Struthio camelus: one gene and its partner. The protein of the gene in region 1 purifies or fractionates together with the protein of each later gene. This does not show direct contact. Links are inferred from orthologs where the notes say so. Each region holds a gene or a part of one and is shown in the gene's direction. Other genes may lie near its edges.

Region 1 (7,518 bases):
CCTACCATCCCCAGGGCTGTGACATGTCCCACCAAGCCCTGTCCCCGTCCCCGGGGCTGTGCCCTGTCCCACCATCCCCAGGGCTGTGACATGTCCCACCAAGCCCTGTCCCCGTCCCCGGGGGCTGTGCCCTGTCCTACCATCCCCAGGGCTGTGACATGTCCCACCAAGCCCTGTCCCCGTCCCGGGGGCTGTGCCCTGTCCTACCATCCCCAGGGCTGTGACATGTCCCACCAAGCCCTGTCCCCCTCCCCGGGGGCTGTGACCTGTCCCACCATCCCCAGGGCTGTGACATGTCCCACCAAGCCCTGTCCCCGTCCCCGGGGCTGTGCCCTGTCCCACCATCCCCAGGGCTGTGACATGTCCCACCAAGCCCTGTCCCCGTCCTCGGGGGCTGTGCCCTGTCCTACCATCCCCAGGGCTGTGACATGTCCCACCAAGCCCTGTCCCCGTCCCGGGGGCTGTGCCCTGTCCTACCATCCCCAGGGCTGTGACATGTCCCACCAAGCCCTGTCCCCCTCCCCGGGGGCTGTGACCTGTCCCACCATCCCCAGGGCTGTGACATGTCCCACCAAGCCCTGTCCCCGTCCCCGGGGGCTGTGCCCTGTCCCACCATCCCCAGGGCTGTGAGATGTCCCACCAAGCCCTGTCCTACCATCCCCAGGGCTGTGACATGTCCCACCAAGCCCTGTCCCCGTCCCCGGGGGCTGTGCCCTATCCTACCATCCCCAGGGCTGTGACATGTCCCACCAAGCCCTGTCCCCGTCCCCGGGGGCTGTGACCTGTCCCACCATCCCCAGGGCTGTGACATGTCCCACCAAGCCCTGTCCCCGTCCCCGGGGCTGTGACCTGTCCTACCATCCCCAGGGCTGTGACATGTCCCACCAAGCCCTGTCCCCCTCCCCGGGGCTGTGCCCTGTCCCGCCATCCCCAGGGCTGTGACATGTCCCACCAAGCCCTGTCCCCCTCCCCGGGGCTGTGACCTGTCCCGCTATCCCCAGGGCTGTGACATGTCCCACCAAGCCCTGTCCCCGTCCCCGGGGCTGTGCCCTGTCCCACCATCCCCAGGGCTGTGACATTTCCCACCAAGCCCTGTCCCCCTCCCCGGGGGCTGTGCCCTGTCCCACCATCCCCAGGGCTGTGACATGTCCCACCAAGCCCTGTCCCCGTCCCCGGGGGCTGTGACCTGTCCTACCATCCCCAGGGCTGTGACATGTCCCACCAAGCCCTGTCCCCGTCCCGGGGCTGTGACCTGTCCCACCATCCCCAGGGCTGTGACATGTCCCACCAAGCCCTGTCCCCGTCCCCGGGGGCTGTGACCTGTCCCACCATCCCCAGGCTGTGACATGTCCCACCAAGCCCTGTCCCCGTCCCCAGGGGCTGTGACCTGTCCTACCATCCCCAGGGCTGTGACATGTCCCACCAAGCCCTGTCCCCGTCCCCGGGGGCTGTGACCTGTCCCACCATCCCCAGGGCTGTGACATGTCCCACCAAGCCCTGTCCCCGTCCCCGGGGGCTGTGACCTGTCCCACCATCCCCAGGGCTGTGACATGTCCCACCAAGCCCTGTCCTACCATCCCCAGGGCTGTGACATGTCCCACCAAGCCCTGTCCCCATCCCCGGGGGCTGTGACCTGTCCTACCATCCTCAGGGCTGTGACATGTCCCACCAAGCCCTGTCCCCGTCCCCGGGGGCTGTGACCTGTCCCACCATCCCCAGGGCTGTGACATGTCCCACCAAGCCCTGTCCCCGTCCCCGGGGCTGTGCCCTGTCCCACCATCCCCAGGGCTGTGACATGTCCCACCAAGCCCTGTCCCCCTCCCCGGGGCTGTGACCTGTCCCACCATCCCCAGGGCTGTGACATGTCCCACCAAGCCCTGTCCCCCTCCCCGGGGCTGTGACCTGTCCCACCATCCCCAGGGCTGTGACATGTCCCACCAAGCCCTGTCCCTGTCCCCGGGGCTGTGCCCTGTCCCACCATCCCCAGGGCTGTGACATGTCCCACCAAGCCCTGTCCCCGTCCCCGGGGGCTGTGACCTGTCCCACCATCCCCAGGGCTGTGACATGTCCCACCAAGCCCTGTCCCCGTCCCCAGGGGCTGTGACCTGTCCCACCATCCCCAGGGCTGTGACATGTCCCACCAAGCCCTGTCCCCGTCCCGGGGCTGTGCCCTGTCCCACCATCCCCAGGGCTGTGACATGTCCCACCAAGCCCTGTCCCCCTCCCCGGGGGCTGTGACCTGTCCCACCATCCCCAGGGCTGTGACATGTCCCACCAAGCCCTGTCCCCGTCCCCGGGGGCTGTGACCTGTCCCACCATCCCCAGGGCTGTGACATGTCCCACCAAGCCCTGTCCCCGTCCCTGGGGGCTGTGACCTGTCCCACCATCCCCAGGGCTGTGACATGTCCCACCAAGCCCTGTCCCCGTCCCCGGGGCTGTGACCTGTCCCACCATCCCCAGGGCTGTGACATGTCCCACCAAGCCCTGTCCTACCATCCCCAGGGCTGTGACATGTCCCACCAAGCCCTGTCCCCATCCCCGGGGGCTGTGACCTGTCCTACCATCCTCAGGGCTGTGACATGTCCCACCAAGCCCTGTCCCCCTCCCCGGGGGCTGTGACCTGTCCCACCATCCCCAGGGCTGTGACATTTCCCACCAAGCCCTGTCCCCCTCCCCGGGGGCTGTGCCCTGTCCCACCATCCCCAGGGCTGTGACATGTCCCACCAAGCCCTGTCCCCCTCCCCGGGGCTGTGACCTGTCCTACCATCCCCAGGGCTGTGACATGTCCCACCAAGCCCTGTCCCCGTCCCGGGGCTGTGACCTGTCCCACCATCCCCAGGGCTGTGACATGTCCCACCAAGCCCTGTCCCCGTCCCCGGGGGCTGTGACCTGTCCCACCATCCCCAGGCTGTGACATGTCCCACCAAGCCCTGTCCCCGTCCCCAGGGGCTGTGACCTGTCCTACCATCCCCAGGGCTGTGACATGTCCCACCAAGCCCTGTCCCCGTCCCCGGGGGCTGTGACCTGTCCCACCATCCCCAGGGCTGTGACATGTCCCACCAAGCCCTGTCCCCGTCCCCGGGGGCTGTGACCTGTCCCACCATCCCCAGGGTTGTGACATGTCCCACCAAGCCCTGTCCCCGTCCCCGGGGCTGTGACCTGTCCCACCATCCCCAGGGCTGTGACATGTCCCACCAAGCCCTGTCCTACCATCCCCAGGGCTGTGACATGTCCCACCAAGCCCTGTCCCCATCCCCGGGGGCTGTGACCTGTCCTACCATCCTCAGGGCTGTGACATGTCCCACCAAGCCCTGTCCCCGTCCCCGGGGGCTGTGACCTGTCCCACCATCCCCAGGGCTGTGACATGTCCCACCAAGCCCTGTCCCCGTCCCCGGGGGCTGTGACCTGTCCCACCATCCCCAGGGCTGTGACATGTCCCACCAAGCCCTGTCCCCGTCCCCAGGGGCTGTGACCTGTCCTACCATCCCCAGGGCTGTGACATGTCCCACCAAGCCCTGTCCCCGTCCCCGGGGGCTGTGACCTGTCCTACCATCCCCAGGGCTGTGACATGTCCCACCAAGCCCTGTCCCCGTCCCCGGGGCTGTGCCCTGTCCTACCATCCCCAGGGCTGTGACATGTCCCACCAAGCCCTGTCCCCGTCCCCGGGGCTGTGACCTGTCCCTCCATCCCCAGGGCTGTGACATGTCCCACCAAGCCCTGTCCCCGTCCCCGGGGGCTGTGCCCTATCCTACCATCCCCAGGGCTGTGACATGTCCCACCAAGCCCTGTCCCCCTCCCCGGGGCTGTGACCTGTCCCGCCATCCCCAGGACTGTGACATGTCCCACCAAGCCCTGTCCCCGTCCCCGGGGGCTGTGCCCTGTCCCACCATCCCCAGGGCTGTGACATGTCCCACCAAGCCCTGTCCCCCTCCCCGGGGCTGTGACCTGTCCCACCATCCCCAGGGCTGTGACATGTCCCACCAAGCCCTGTCCCCGTCCCCGGGGGCTGTGAGCTGTCTCACCATCCCCAGGGCTGTGACATGTCCCACCAAGCCCTGTCCCCGTCCCCGGGGGCTGTGAGCTGTCTCACCATCCCCAGGGCTGTGACATGTCCCACCAAGCCCTGTCCCCGTCCCCGGGGGCTGTGACCTGTCCCGCCGTCCCCAGGGCTGTGACATGTCCCACCAAGCCCTGTCCCCGTCCCGGGGCTGTGACCTGTCCCACCATCCCCAGGGCTGTGACATGTCCCACCAAGCCCTGTCCTACCATCCCCAGGGCTGTGACATGTCCCACCAAGCCCTGTCCCCCTCCCCGGGGCTGTGACCTGTCCCGCCTTGCCCCGTCCCCGTGGCTGGCTGCTGGCGCCGCCCCCGCCCCGACTCCGCCCCGCCGCCCAGGCCCCGCCCCCGCCCATGTGCCCCCTCGGCCCCGCCCCCCGCCGCGCCCCGCCCTCGGGTAGGCAGGCAGCGCCGCCGCCATTTTGGAGGCAGCCGGAGCGCCCGCCAGCTCGCCGCCGCCTCGCCGCCGCTGTCAGCGCAGCGCAGCCCGGCCGCGGCGCCCCGCGCTCCGCCCGCGGCCCATGCCCTCGGCCCGCCGGCTCTCGCAGCCCAGGCAGCGCACGGCGGCGGCGGCCCCGCCGCCACGGGGACGGCCAGGCCGGACGGCCAGCAGGTGAGACCCGCGGCCGGGCCCGCCGACCGCGCCGCCGCCGAGCTGTCACCGCCGCCGCGGCCCGCGCCGCCGCGGCCCTCCGGGGCCGGAGCCGGGGCGCTCGGCGCGGCCTGCTCCGCTCCACCGGCCGCTTCCTGCTTCCTGCGGCGCGGCGCGGCGCTGGGCCCGGCGCGGAGGCGGTGCGCGGCCTGCCGCCCTGTCAGCGCCGCCGCCGGCCCGGGCCCCGCGGAGCCGCCCGGCCCCGGAGCGCTGCCTGGGCTGGAGGCCGTGTCCGGCTGCGCCTGCTCCGCGTTTTTACTGTATTTATTTGTTTTTGGTCCGGGCGGTGCTGGTCGCCCGGGCCCCTCTTCTTGATTCCGCCTTCGCCGGCCGCTGCGCTGGCCCCTTCCCCGCGCCCTGCCGAAGTTCCCGGGCGTCGCTTGGTGCCGCCTCTGGGGTGAACGGCCCCCGAGGTCGCCCCCCCCCCCCCCCCCCCCCCGGAGCGCGGGGCCCGTCAGGAGTTCGCCGCTGAGCGGGTGCGGTCGGCTGAGGGGGCGCAGCGGCTTCGCCCGTTCCGCGGCCCGCGCGCGGCCGCCGCTTGGCAGCACCCGCGGGGCGGCGGCGGCGCCGCGCACCTGAGCCCAGGGGCCCCGCGGGCTCCGGCCCGGGCGGTCGGTGGAAATAAGGGTCCTGGGCTGGTGGTATTAACGCGCGGAAACTGTGGTAGGAGCTGTAGCCGCAGATCGAATTACTGCGGCACATGATCTTACAGGAAGGCTTTTTCTTGGCCGCTTTAATGGAGGTTTCTTTCCTAATTTGAAGGCCTTGTTTTGTGCTAGCTTTAGAAAAAAACAAAAAACCCCAAAAAACTAGGAAGTGAAAAAGAGAAATTGAGAGAACTTGGAAGGACTTGAGGTATTTTTCCTATCTTGATCTCCTGCTTAAGACTTATTTTTAAGACTGAAGCTTGTTTCCATAGTGTAGTTTATTTTCCCCATCAAAAACATAGAACAGAGTTGTAATTTTTAGACTCAGTCCTGTTATGAGCTACACATGTGTTTGAAGCCAAGCATGTAATCACTAGCTAGCAGACTTTTTTTGATAGAACACTGCTTTAAGAATGACAAGGGAGTAAACATTTATGACTTCTGCTATTACTCTGTCACTTAAAAATATTTTGGCAAACTAGTTACTTTTGGTGGTTTAAAAAAAAAATCCAACAGCTGATAGTATAACAATTTCCATAGCAACTGAGGGTGATAGCATGGTAAGGAAAGTTAAATTTTGGAATATGCAATAGGAACAGATCATGATCTGTACTAGCTTAAGTGGTCCCAGTAAAGACTTGCTCAGGAGAAGGTGAGTGAAGATTGGACATGAAAAAATTGCTTGAAATTGAGAACTTACTTTGTTTTCATGTATTTGACGTGCATATACTTCTGGTGACTTTTATACTTTCTTTGTCTTAAGTTGCAAATTCTGGGACCTAGGACAGTGTCTGATCTAGGAACTGTGGGAATTTGGAGGCACTGCAGAAGCCTTTTGGGAAAAGCTCAGTCTGCAGCAGAATGGTATCAGAGGTGTGGTACAGAAAACAAGTGCTGAGGTTTTGCGAGATTCCTACAGATTTGAAACTTTGAAAAAGTGACTGATGTCGACCGCTTGTTTAGGGGATGGGAGGGAGCACTGAAGCGTCTTCGTTCTTTACCCAATGTTTGATGAATTTATAGTTGTTTGTGGAAGGGACAGGTTGAATTTGTAAGTTCATGGTTGAGAAATGGGAGGATATTGAATCAAAGTGAATAATAAAGAGAAAACTATGATTAAAAATTTACAGTGTTTTTATTCTAACGGTATTCAAGCTTGCTTGTTCTGTGGGCCTAAATTATTTTTAGAAAACTACAGGCTGTTGTCACTAGTGGCATAGGCTGTTAGATGCAGTGCTGCCTTGGGAGGAAAGCTCAAAAACCCTTGCAAGTTGCCTTTTGAAAAGGGGTACCAGGAGAGCTGTTAAGGATAGACAGCCCTTCTGTCTGTGTTTCCCCCTGCCACTTGTGACTCATACTTCATTGGTCATATGGGGAGTCAGCTGGAATGAATTAAATTCTTGCTATCCCCAGTTAGTACAGTCCTGAGCTAGAAGAAGGAATCACTTAGCTGTGTTTCTCTCCTTCCTCCGTAAGGAGACATCCCAGGCTAACTGGCCATATTTTTCCATCCTCCATGGAAGGAGCACTTCCTTCCATATTTTCCCCTGAGTTTTATTGGCCATCAGCTAAAGTGTCAAAAGAGAAACCAAAACTGTTTCCTCCCCTGCCCGCCCCCCCCTCCCCCCCCCAATGCAGTAGGGGATTAGTAGTACCAAACTTCAGTGAAGAAAGGTAATGCATCTGAACAGAGTTGGGCAGGGGAGGAGGTAGGGAAGATGAGCTTTCTTCTTTTCTGTCTCTGCTAATAAGATTTGTAGACCTGTGAGGGTAGAAACTGCTGATTATATGTTAGGGAAAATAGCTTCACACACACACAATCAAGTAGTACGTTTTTTTAACACTGCGGCTTGGAGACTAAAGTGTTAGTGCCTGAAGGGCAGTAACTAGAACAGTGTAATAAGGGCAGCCATAAAAAATGGGTGAACTGGAATGCCAAGAAATAGAAGAGTATCTTGTTATAGTAAACACTTCTGAAACAATAGTAGAATGACAAGAATAACTGGGAAACTTGGATATAAATGGTGCAGGAAAACTAGAGGAGGTCAAGTTGAGAGTAAATCAAGAGCTAAGTAGTTGATGGAATCTTTTGAGAACTTTGAGGTATACTTGTAGGAATTCTTGTTGTTTTGCTAGACCTTAACCCTGCTCTTCTCAATCA
Region 2 (7,215 bases), on another chromosome or scaffold:
AGCGGCGGGAAGAGGAAGGGCTTTAAGGAAGGACCGACCCCGGGTGCAGCGCCCGGGTGGCACCCACGCGGCCCGACCGGCTTAAGCTTTGCAACAGCCATAACTGGAAGCGCTCTGGTGCCCGCTGGGACAGTGCGGGTATTTTTAGATGTGCCTGCAAACAGGTCACAGCAGCTCTCCCCCCAGGACTGGTGGCTCGGGGAGAAGGGCCTGCTTGTCCCAGGAGCTCCTGGACGGTCCTGCTTCGCGGAGAGGCGCCCAGAGTAGCCAGCGACCCGGGGGCCGGGTCAGAGCCCGGCCTGGCTTAGAGCCGGGCGAGCCCAGGTCGCGGAGGGCCCTGGCCCTCGGCTGAGCGGCCCCCGCGGGTCTCGGCCTCCGAGGAAAGCCGGGAACGCCTCGCTCCGAGGGGCAGCGCCAGGCGCCGCACGCGCGCCAGCAGCGCCGTCTCCTAAATCACCCCCTCAGCGCGATGCTGCCCCTGTTCCCCCGCCACAGATGCGGCTTTTGGCTCCGATCTGGCACAAGACGACGCGAGCGCGCCGGGACCGGGAGCTGCTCCCCGCGCCCAGCCCGGCGCCAGGCTCGGCGGGGACAGAGCGAGGTGGCACAAGGTCGCCTGCGCTCGCCAAAGCCTAAGCAAACCGCGGCATCTAGGAGCGACCGTGGGACGCAGCCGCCGTCGCTTCCTCCCCGCGCGCCGCCCCGCTCCCCGCTCCCGAAGGAAAGGCCAAGGCACGGGACCCGTCGGCCCCAGGGCCGGAGCCTCCCGCGCGCCCCGTCCTGCCTGCGGTCAGGGGCAGCGGATGGAGGGGGCGGAGGGCTGGACCCCCCCTCGGTGCCCCCCCAGACCCCCTCGGTGCCCTGTCCGGGTGTCCCCCCATCCTGCACACCCCGCTGCCCTCCCCCGGTACCCCCAGACCCTCCCCCCGGTGTCCCCATGTCCCGCACACCCCGGTGCCCCCATGTCCCGCACACCCCGGTGCCCCCCGACGCCCCCGGTGCCTCCATGTCCCACACACCCCGGTGCCCCCAGACCCCCTCCAGTGTCCCCATGTCCCGCACACCCCGGTGCCCCCCCCCGGCTGTCCCCGTGTCCCGCACACCCCGGTGAACCCCCCGGTACCCCCTGACGCCCCCGGTGTCCCCATGTCCCACACACCCCGGTGCCCCCCCGTCCCCGCACACCCCGGTGCCCCCCCCCCGGTGCCCCCTGACGCCCCCGGTGTCCCCAAGTCCCGCACACCCCGGTGACCCCCCCGGTGTCCCCCCGGCTGTCCCCGTGTCCCGCACACCCCGGTGCCCCCAGACCCCCCCGGTGCCCCCCCGGCTGTCCCCGTGTCCCGCACACCTCGCTGCCCCCCCGGTGCCCCGTCCGGGTGTCCCCGTGTCCTGCACACCCCGGTGCCCCCCCCGGCTGTCCCCGTGTCCCGCACACCCCGGTGCCCCCAGACCCCCCCGGTGCCCCCCCGGCTGTCCCCGTGTCTCGCACACCTCGCTGCCCCCCCGGTGCCCCGTCCGGGTGTCCCTCCAGCCCCGTCCGCCGCCGGGGGGCACCCAGGGCCCTGTCCGCGTCCCCGCCCGCCCGTCCCTGCCCCGGGGCCGCGGGTGACCTGCGGGCCGCCCGCTCCGCCCCGCTCCGCCCCGCTCCGCGCCGCCGGGCCCGGCCCGGTCCTCACCTGCCGGGCGGGGCCGCCCCGGCCCGCAGCCGCTGCCGCGTCCCGAGCTGCAGGGCGCCGCGGAGCCGCCTGGCCGCCATGACCGGACCGGACCGGACCGGACCGGACCGGACGGGGGGGGGGGCCGGGACGCGGCACCGCCACCCGCCCGCACCGGCTCCGCCGCCGCCGCCGTGACCTCTCACCCCGCCCGCGACGTCACCGCGTCGCCATAGAGCCCGCCGACGTCACGGCGCCGGGAGGGGGAGGGGGGCGGTGCCAGCGGGCACGGCCTCCCGCGCGGGGCACGGCGGGAGCTGTAGTCCCGCCGGCGCGGGGCACGATGGGGGATGTAGTCCCGGGACGCCATCACTGCCACCGGGGCCTGGAAGCAGCCGGGCCCCCCCGGCCCCCCCCGGTCCCTCGGCGCCAGCTCCGGGCCCCTCACGGCCGTCGCACCGAGCCTTGCCCGGCTCGGCGGGGGACAGGCCGGCGCGCGCTCCCCGCCGCACCTGCCTTTCCAAGAAAACGATTAGTTCGGCTGCTCCCCCTCCGGGGCTAGCGTTTCCCCGCAGCAAAACGTCAGCAGCTGCTCGTTGCAGCTTTCCGCCTCTGTCGTTTCACCTTGATTTCACTCTTAGCTAACGCGGGGCTAATTATTGCCAGTCCAAAAAAAACAAAAAAAAAAACCACCCTACGATAAAAATAGCCTCGCTAACGGTATCAGCAGCGCTCTCTCCAGCTCCTCCTCCTCCGAACTGGGGTCAACCGAGCCACCGGGCCCCGCCACCCCCGTGGCAGGCCACCCAGTTACGTCTCTGGATGTTATTTCAAGAGGCGCGGGCAGCAACTCCGTGCTTTGTCCCCAGGTATCGCCTCCCTTTCCAGGCAGGGCGACAGAGGAGGCAACAAACCAGAAATTCCCGGTACCTGCAGAAAACGCCGAGGCACCAAAGTTTTCTCCGTTTAAAGTTATTTCCAAGCAGGGGACGGACGCGGGCCAGGGAAGCAGCTACTGGGACCTGGCTGCTAACAGGTGCTGGCCGGCAGAGACCACCGGTCCCGGCGCGCCAGGCTCCAACTTCAGCTACCTTGCTGCCACCTGCAGCATCCTTCCAGGCAGGGCGCCGGCAGGGGGCTCGGCGCCCCTTTGCAGGCCGTGGGGTCCCCCGGCAGCGCTATCTGCACCCGCTGGGGAGGCATCTCCAGCGGTTAATACCCCCGGGCGACGGAGCAGCCGTGCTAGCTGCTGCACAACGTGGCCATCTCGGTAACGGGCCTCGCTTCCAGACGGTCACAAAGCAAAGGCCTGCTGCCCGAAGCAGGGCCGCCGAGCTCGCAGCCGGGAGCGCTGTACTCGGGACGGCGCGCTCGCGGGAACGGGCCCTGGAGCACCGAAGCGACCGTGCCAGCAGGCAGCGGCCAGACCAGGGGAAGAGGCAGGCCTGGCTCCTCGCTCCTCGGCCAGCAGTTTACTGCCTAGTTTCTTTTTGGGCGGGGGCCGAGAAGGGGGCCCGGTGGGGCCTTACACCGGGGCACCCGTGGGGCCGGCATCCCCCAGCCAAGGGGTCGTCCTGGGGCCGAGCGCCGTTGTCCCCTGGATTTTCCTTGGGACCTGCCCCCCCCATTCCCAGGGGTTCAGCAGGGCCCAGCACCCCATTCCTTGAGGCCCAGCACCCCATTCCTCGAGGCCCAGTGCCCCATTCCCAGGGGTCCAGCAGGGCCCAGCACCCCCAGCCCCTGGGCCCAGCACCCCGGTCCCCAGGACTCGGCGGGCCCAGCACCCCGGTCCCCAGGGGCCCAGCACCCCAGTCCCCAGGACTCGGCGGGCCCAGCACCCCGGTCCCCAGGGGTCCAGCAGGGCCCAGCACCCTGGTCCCCAGGACTCGGCGGGCCCAGCACCCCGGTCCCCAGGGGTCCAGCAGGGCCCAGCACCCCGGTCCCCAGGACTCGGCGGGTCCAGCACCCCGGTCCCCAGGGGTCCAGCAGGGCCCAGCACCCCGGTCCCCAGGACTCGGCGGGACCCAGCACCCCGGTCCCCAGGGGTCCAGCAGGGCCCAGCACCCCGGTCCCCAGGGGTCCAGCACCCCGGTCCCCAGGACTCGGCGGGCCCAGCACCCCGGTCCCCAGGGGCCCAGCAGGGCCCAGCACCCCGGTCCCCAGGGGTCCAGCACCCCGGTCCCCAGGACTCGGCGGGACCCAGCACCCCGGTCCCCAGGGGTCCAGCAGGGCCCAGCACCCCGGTCCCCAGGGGCCCAGCACCCCGGTCCCCAGGACTCGGCGGGCCCAGCACCCCGGTCCCCAGGGGCCCAGCACCCCGGTCCCCAGGACTCGGCGGGCCCAGCACCCCGGTCCCCAGGGGTCCAGCAGGGCCCAGCACCCCGGTCCCCAGGACTCGGCGGGCCCAGCACCCCGGTCCCCAGGACTCGGCGGGCCCAGCACCCTCCGCGGGTCCCGTCGCGGGGCCGCCCGGCCCGGCCCGGCCCGGCCCGGCGCGGCGGCCGCTCCCCCGGCGGTGGGCGGGCCCAGCCGCTCCCCGCCCCGCCAGCCGCCCGAGCCGGAGCCGCCGCGGCCGGAGCCCGATGCCGGGAGCTGGGCGCTGAGGGCGGCCCCGAGATGGGGATTCTCAGCATCACGGACCAGGTAGCGCCGCCGCCGCCGCCCGCCCGCCCGCGCCCGCCGCCGCCGCCCGCCCGCGCCCGGCCGCCCCGCCACGCCAGCCCGGGGATGCGCGGCCTAGCGCGGGCCGCCCCGCAGCCCGCGCGGGCCCGGCCGCCGCCCCAGGCCCCGCCGCCCCCGGCCCCGCCGCCCCCGGCCCCGCCGCCCGCGCCCACCTGCCCCCGCCGCCCCCCGGGCCCCCGCGCCGCGCTCCGCCGCCCGCCCGGCCCCGGCCCCGGCTCGGCCTCCTCGGGCGCCTCGGCCCGCGCGGGGCCCCCGGTGCGGCGGGTACGGCGGCCCCGGGCGCGGCGCCCCCCCGGGACGGCACCGTCTGCCCGCCGGGACGGGACCCCCTCCCCTCCCCCTAGGACGGGACCCGGACCCCCCGCCCCCAGGACGGGACCCCCCCCGGGCCCTGCTGGGATGGGACCCCCCCCCCCCAGCCCGGACACCCCCCCAGCCCCCGCCGGGACGGGACCCCCCCCCACTCGGACCACCCCCCCGGCCCTACCGGGATGGGACCCCCCCTGCCCTGACACCCCGCATGGACCCCCCCCCCAGTCCCCACCGGGATGGGACCCCCCCCAGACCACCTGCCCCCAGGACGGGACCCCCCCCCGGCCCTACCGGGATGGGACCCCCCCCCCGCCCTGACACCCCGCATGGACCCCCCCCCCAGTCCCCACCGGGATGGGACCCCCCCCAGACCACCTGCCCCCAGGATGGGACCCCCCCCCGGCCCTACCAGGATGGGACCCCCCGGGGGGACCTCCTGCCCAGACCCCCCACCCCCAGGATGGGACCCCCCACCTGGACCCCCCCCAGGGCCCCACAGGGATGGGACCTCCCCTACCCATGCAGACCCCCCCCCTGGCCCCACTGGGATGGGACCCCCCCGAGGGGACCCCTAGAGACGGGTCCCCCAGCTCCAGTGGGGCAGGATCCCCTGATCCGAGCCCCCCTGCTGCCCTGGGGAGTGGACCCCTGGGACAGGAGCCCTCTGCCCCACAGGGCCCCCTGAGAGCGACAGGATATCCCTGGGGATGGGACCCCCTGCCTGGGCACCCCTGCCCCACAGGGCCCAGACCCCTGCCCCAGGGTCTCCCCATCCCAAGAGCAATGGGATATCTTTGGGGATGGGACCCCCTTCCTGGGCACCCCTGCCCCACAGGGCCTGGATCCCCTGCCCCAGGGTCTCCCCATCCCAAGAGCAATGGGATATCTTTGGGGATGGGACCTTCTTCCTGGGCACCCCTGCCCCACAGGGCCTGGATCCCCACCCCAGGGTCTCCCCATCCCAAGAGCAACAGGATATCCATGGGGATGGGACCCCCCTGCCCCACAGGGCCCAGACCCCCACCCCAGGGTCTCCCCATCCCAAGAGCAACGGGATATCTCCGGGGATGGGACCCCCTTCCTGGGCACCCCCTGCCCCAAAGGAGGGAGGACCTCTGGGGACACCAGCCCCAGGGCCCCCTTGCCCCAAGGATCGCCGTGCTTTCTGTCCCAGCCCTGTCTGCATCCCCGTCGGGTTTTGGGGGCGCCGCTAGGGTGGCGGGTGTCATCAGAGCATGTTTCCATTGGCATGGGGCCCGTGCGCTGTTCCCCGCCTTGGGGCCCGCGTGTTGGACCCCACGATCCTGAGCGCCCTCGCGCTGCCTCCCCTCCGGCTAGGACCCTCTCCTGCAGCATGAACGCTGCTAGGCTGTTTGTCGTCCCCCTGCTGCCTAGACTTAATTTTTGTGCTGTATCCCCTAGACGGATGATGCCCAGCATCTTCTTAACTTCGTGCTCCCCACAGAAGTCTCCTTTTCCCCCCGCCCGTTTTACATAAATTGTCTTTATTCACCCTCACCAGTAGCGATCTGGGCTGCTGGCCTCTCAAAACCAAATATTTACGCCTGCCTCTGGTCCCTCACTCCTGTGCTATCATTAATACAGTGAATGTTTAAAGCCTCACGTGGTGGATGAAGAAGGGGAGGGGTGAGGAAGAGGGATTGATCTGTGATTTAAATAGAACTTTTTTTTTTTTTTTGGGTAACCAAAACATTTAGCTTTCCTTGTGAATGGTGGGTGGGTGTGTCAGACCCAGCACTGCTGCAAACCGCGCTCCGCTGAAGACTGCTCAGGGCATAATTATCGTCTGCGATTTTTTTTTTTTTTGAAAAACCTTTTTTTAAATGTCTAACGAGTGATGCTGAGTCTGCTGCATTCCATGGGAATGACTCACGCGTTCCCTCTGACCTGGGATGTGTTCCCCATATTTAACTGCTTTTACTTTGATGGTGGGGTGAGAAAGATGCGTGTGAGGATTGCTGGGTAGCAGGGACAGGAAGGGATTTCCTCGAAAATGAAGGTCTGTGGTTCCTTTGAGAAGCCAAGATGAGAAGCTTTGGCTGGTTTTGACCATTAGATCCAGCACTGGCTACGCGAACAGAGCTGGAGAAGCGGGTGCTGGAGGCTGGTGCGGCTCTGTCTTGCTTGCAGCACCCCCGAACGCGCTGTTCAGATCTGTGCAAGGAGCGGAGGCTGGCCTGCTGCTTTGCCCTGGGCAAGGAGGCGTGGGTTTTGGCCGTGATCGTGGGGTGCAGAGCACTGAAGGGATTTAGAGCAGCCGCAGTCTCTGCCCCGAAGATCTTGCAACATTAAAATGTAATTTCTAGGCCTGTGAAACAAGAAACAGGCTACTGGGTGCTCAGGCGATGCTCAGAGGTTGGGCGGCACCTGAACTTAATGCTGCTGCGAGCGATGCTTACCTGGCCTAGCACACACATCGTGCTCTGGGACAAGGTATGTTACCCCGGTGCAAAGACAGCAGAGAGGCTCTGTCTGTTCAGGACATCAGTTCTGCAGGCCACAGCAGTGGTTAACTTTATGACTTTGGCTAGAGCTTTGCTAATGT

The links.
Region 2: the proteins of PPP6R2 (region 1) and ANKRD52 purify together in Homo sapiens (affinity purification with mass spectrometry; 3 studies listed by BioGRID and IntAct, counting the BioPlex papers as one, with this or other methods). This does not show direct contact. The link is inferred for Struthio camelus from reciprocal best matches to the Homo sapiens genes PPP6R2 and ANKRD52.

What each region holds. Positions count from the first base shown.
Region 1 is NC_090942.1:1,008,265-1,015,782, reverse strand, and holds the start of PPP6R2 (serine/threonine-protein phosphatase 6 regulatory subunit 2), read left to right. Parts: upstream 1-4,517; 5' UTR 4,518-4,671; intron 4,672-7,518. UniProt on the Homo sapiens protein: Regulatory subunit of protein phosphatase 6 (PP6). May function as a scaffolding PP6 subunit. Involved in the PP6-mediated dephosphorylation of NFKBIE opposing its degradation in response to TNF-alpha.
Region 2 is NC_090969.1:486,709-493,923, forward strand, and holds the start of ANKRD52 (serine/threonine-protein phosphatase 6 regulatory ankyrin repeat subunit C), read left to right. Parts: upstream 1-4,214; 5' UTR 4,215-4,271; coding exon 4,272-4,298; intron 4,299-7,215. Other genes in the region: COQ10A (coenzyme Q-binding protein COQ10 homolog A, mitochondrial), read right to left, coding at 1,677-1,756. UniProt on the Homo sapiens protein: Putative regulatory subunit of protein phosphatase 6 (PP6) that may be involved in the recognition of phosphoprotein substrates.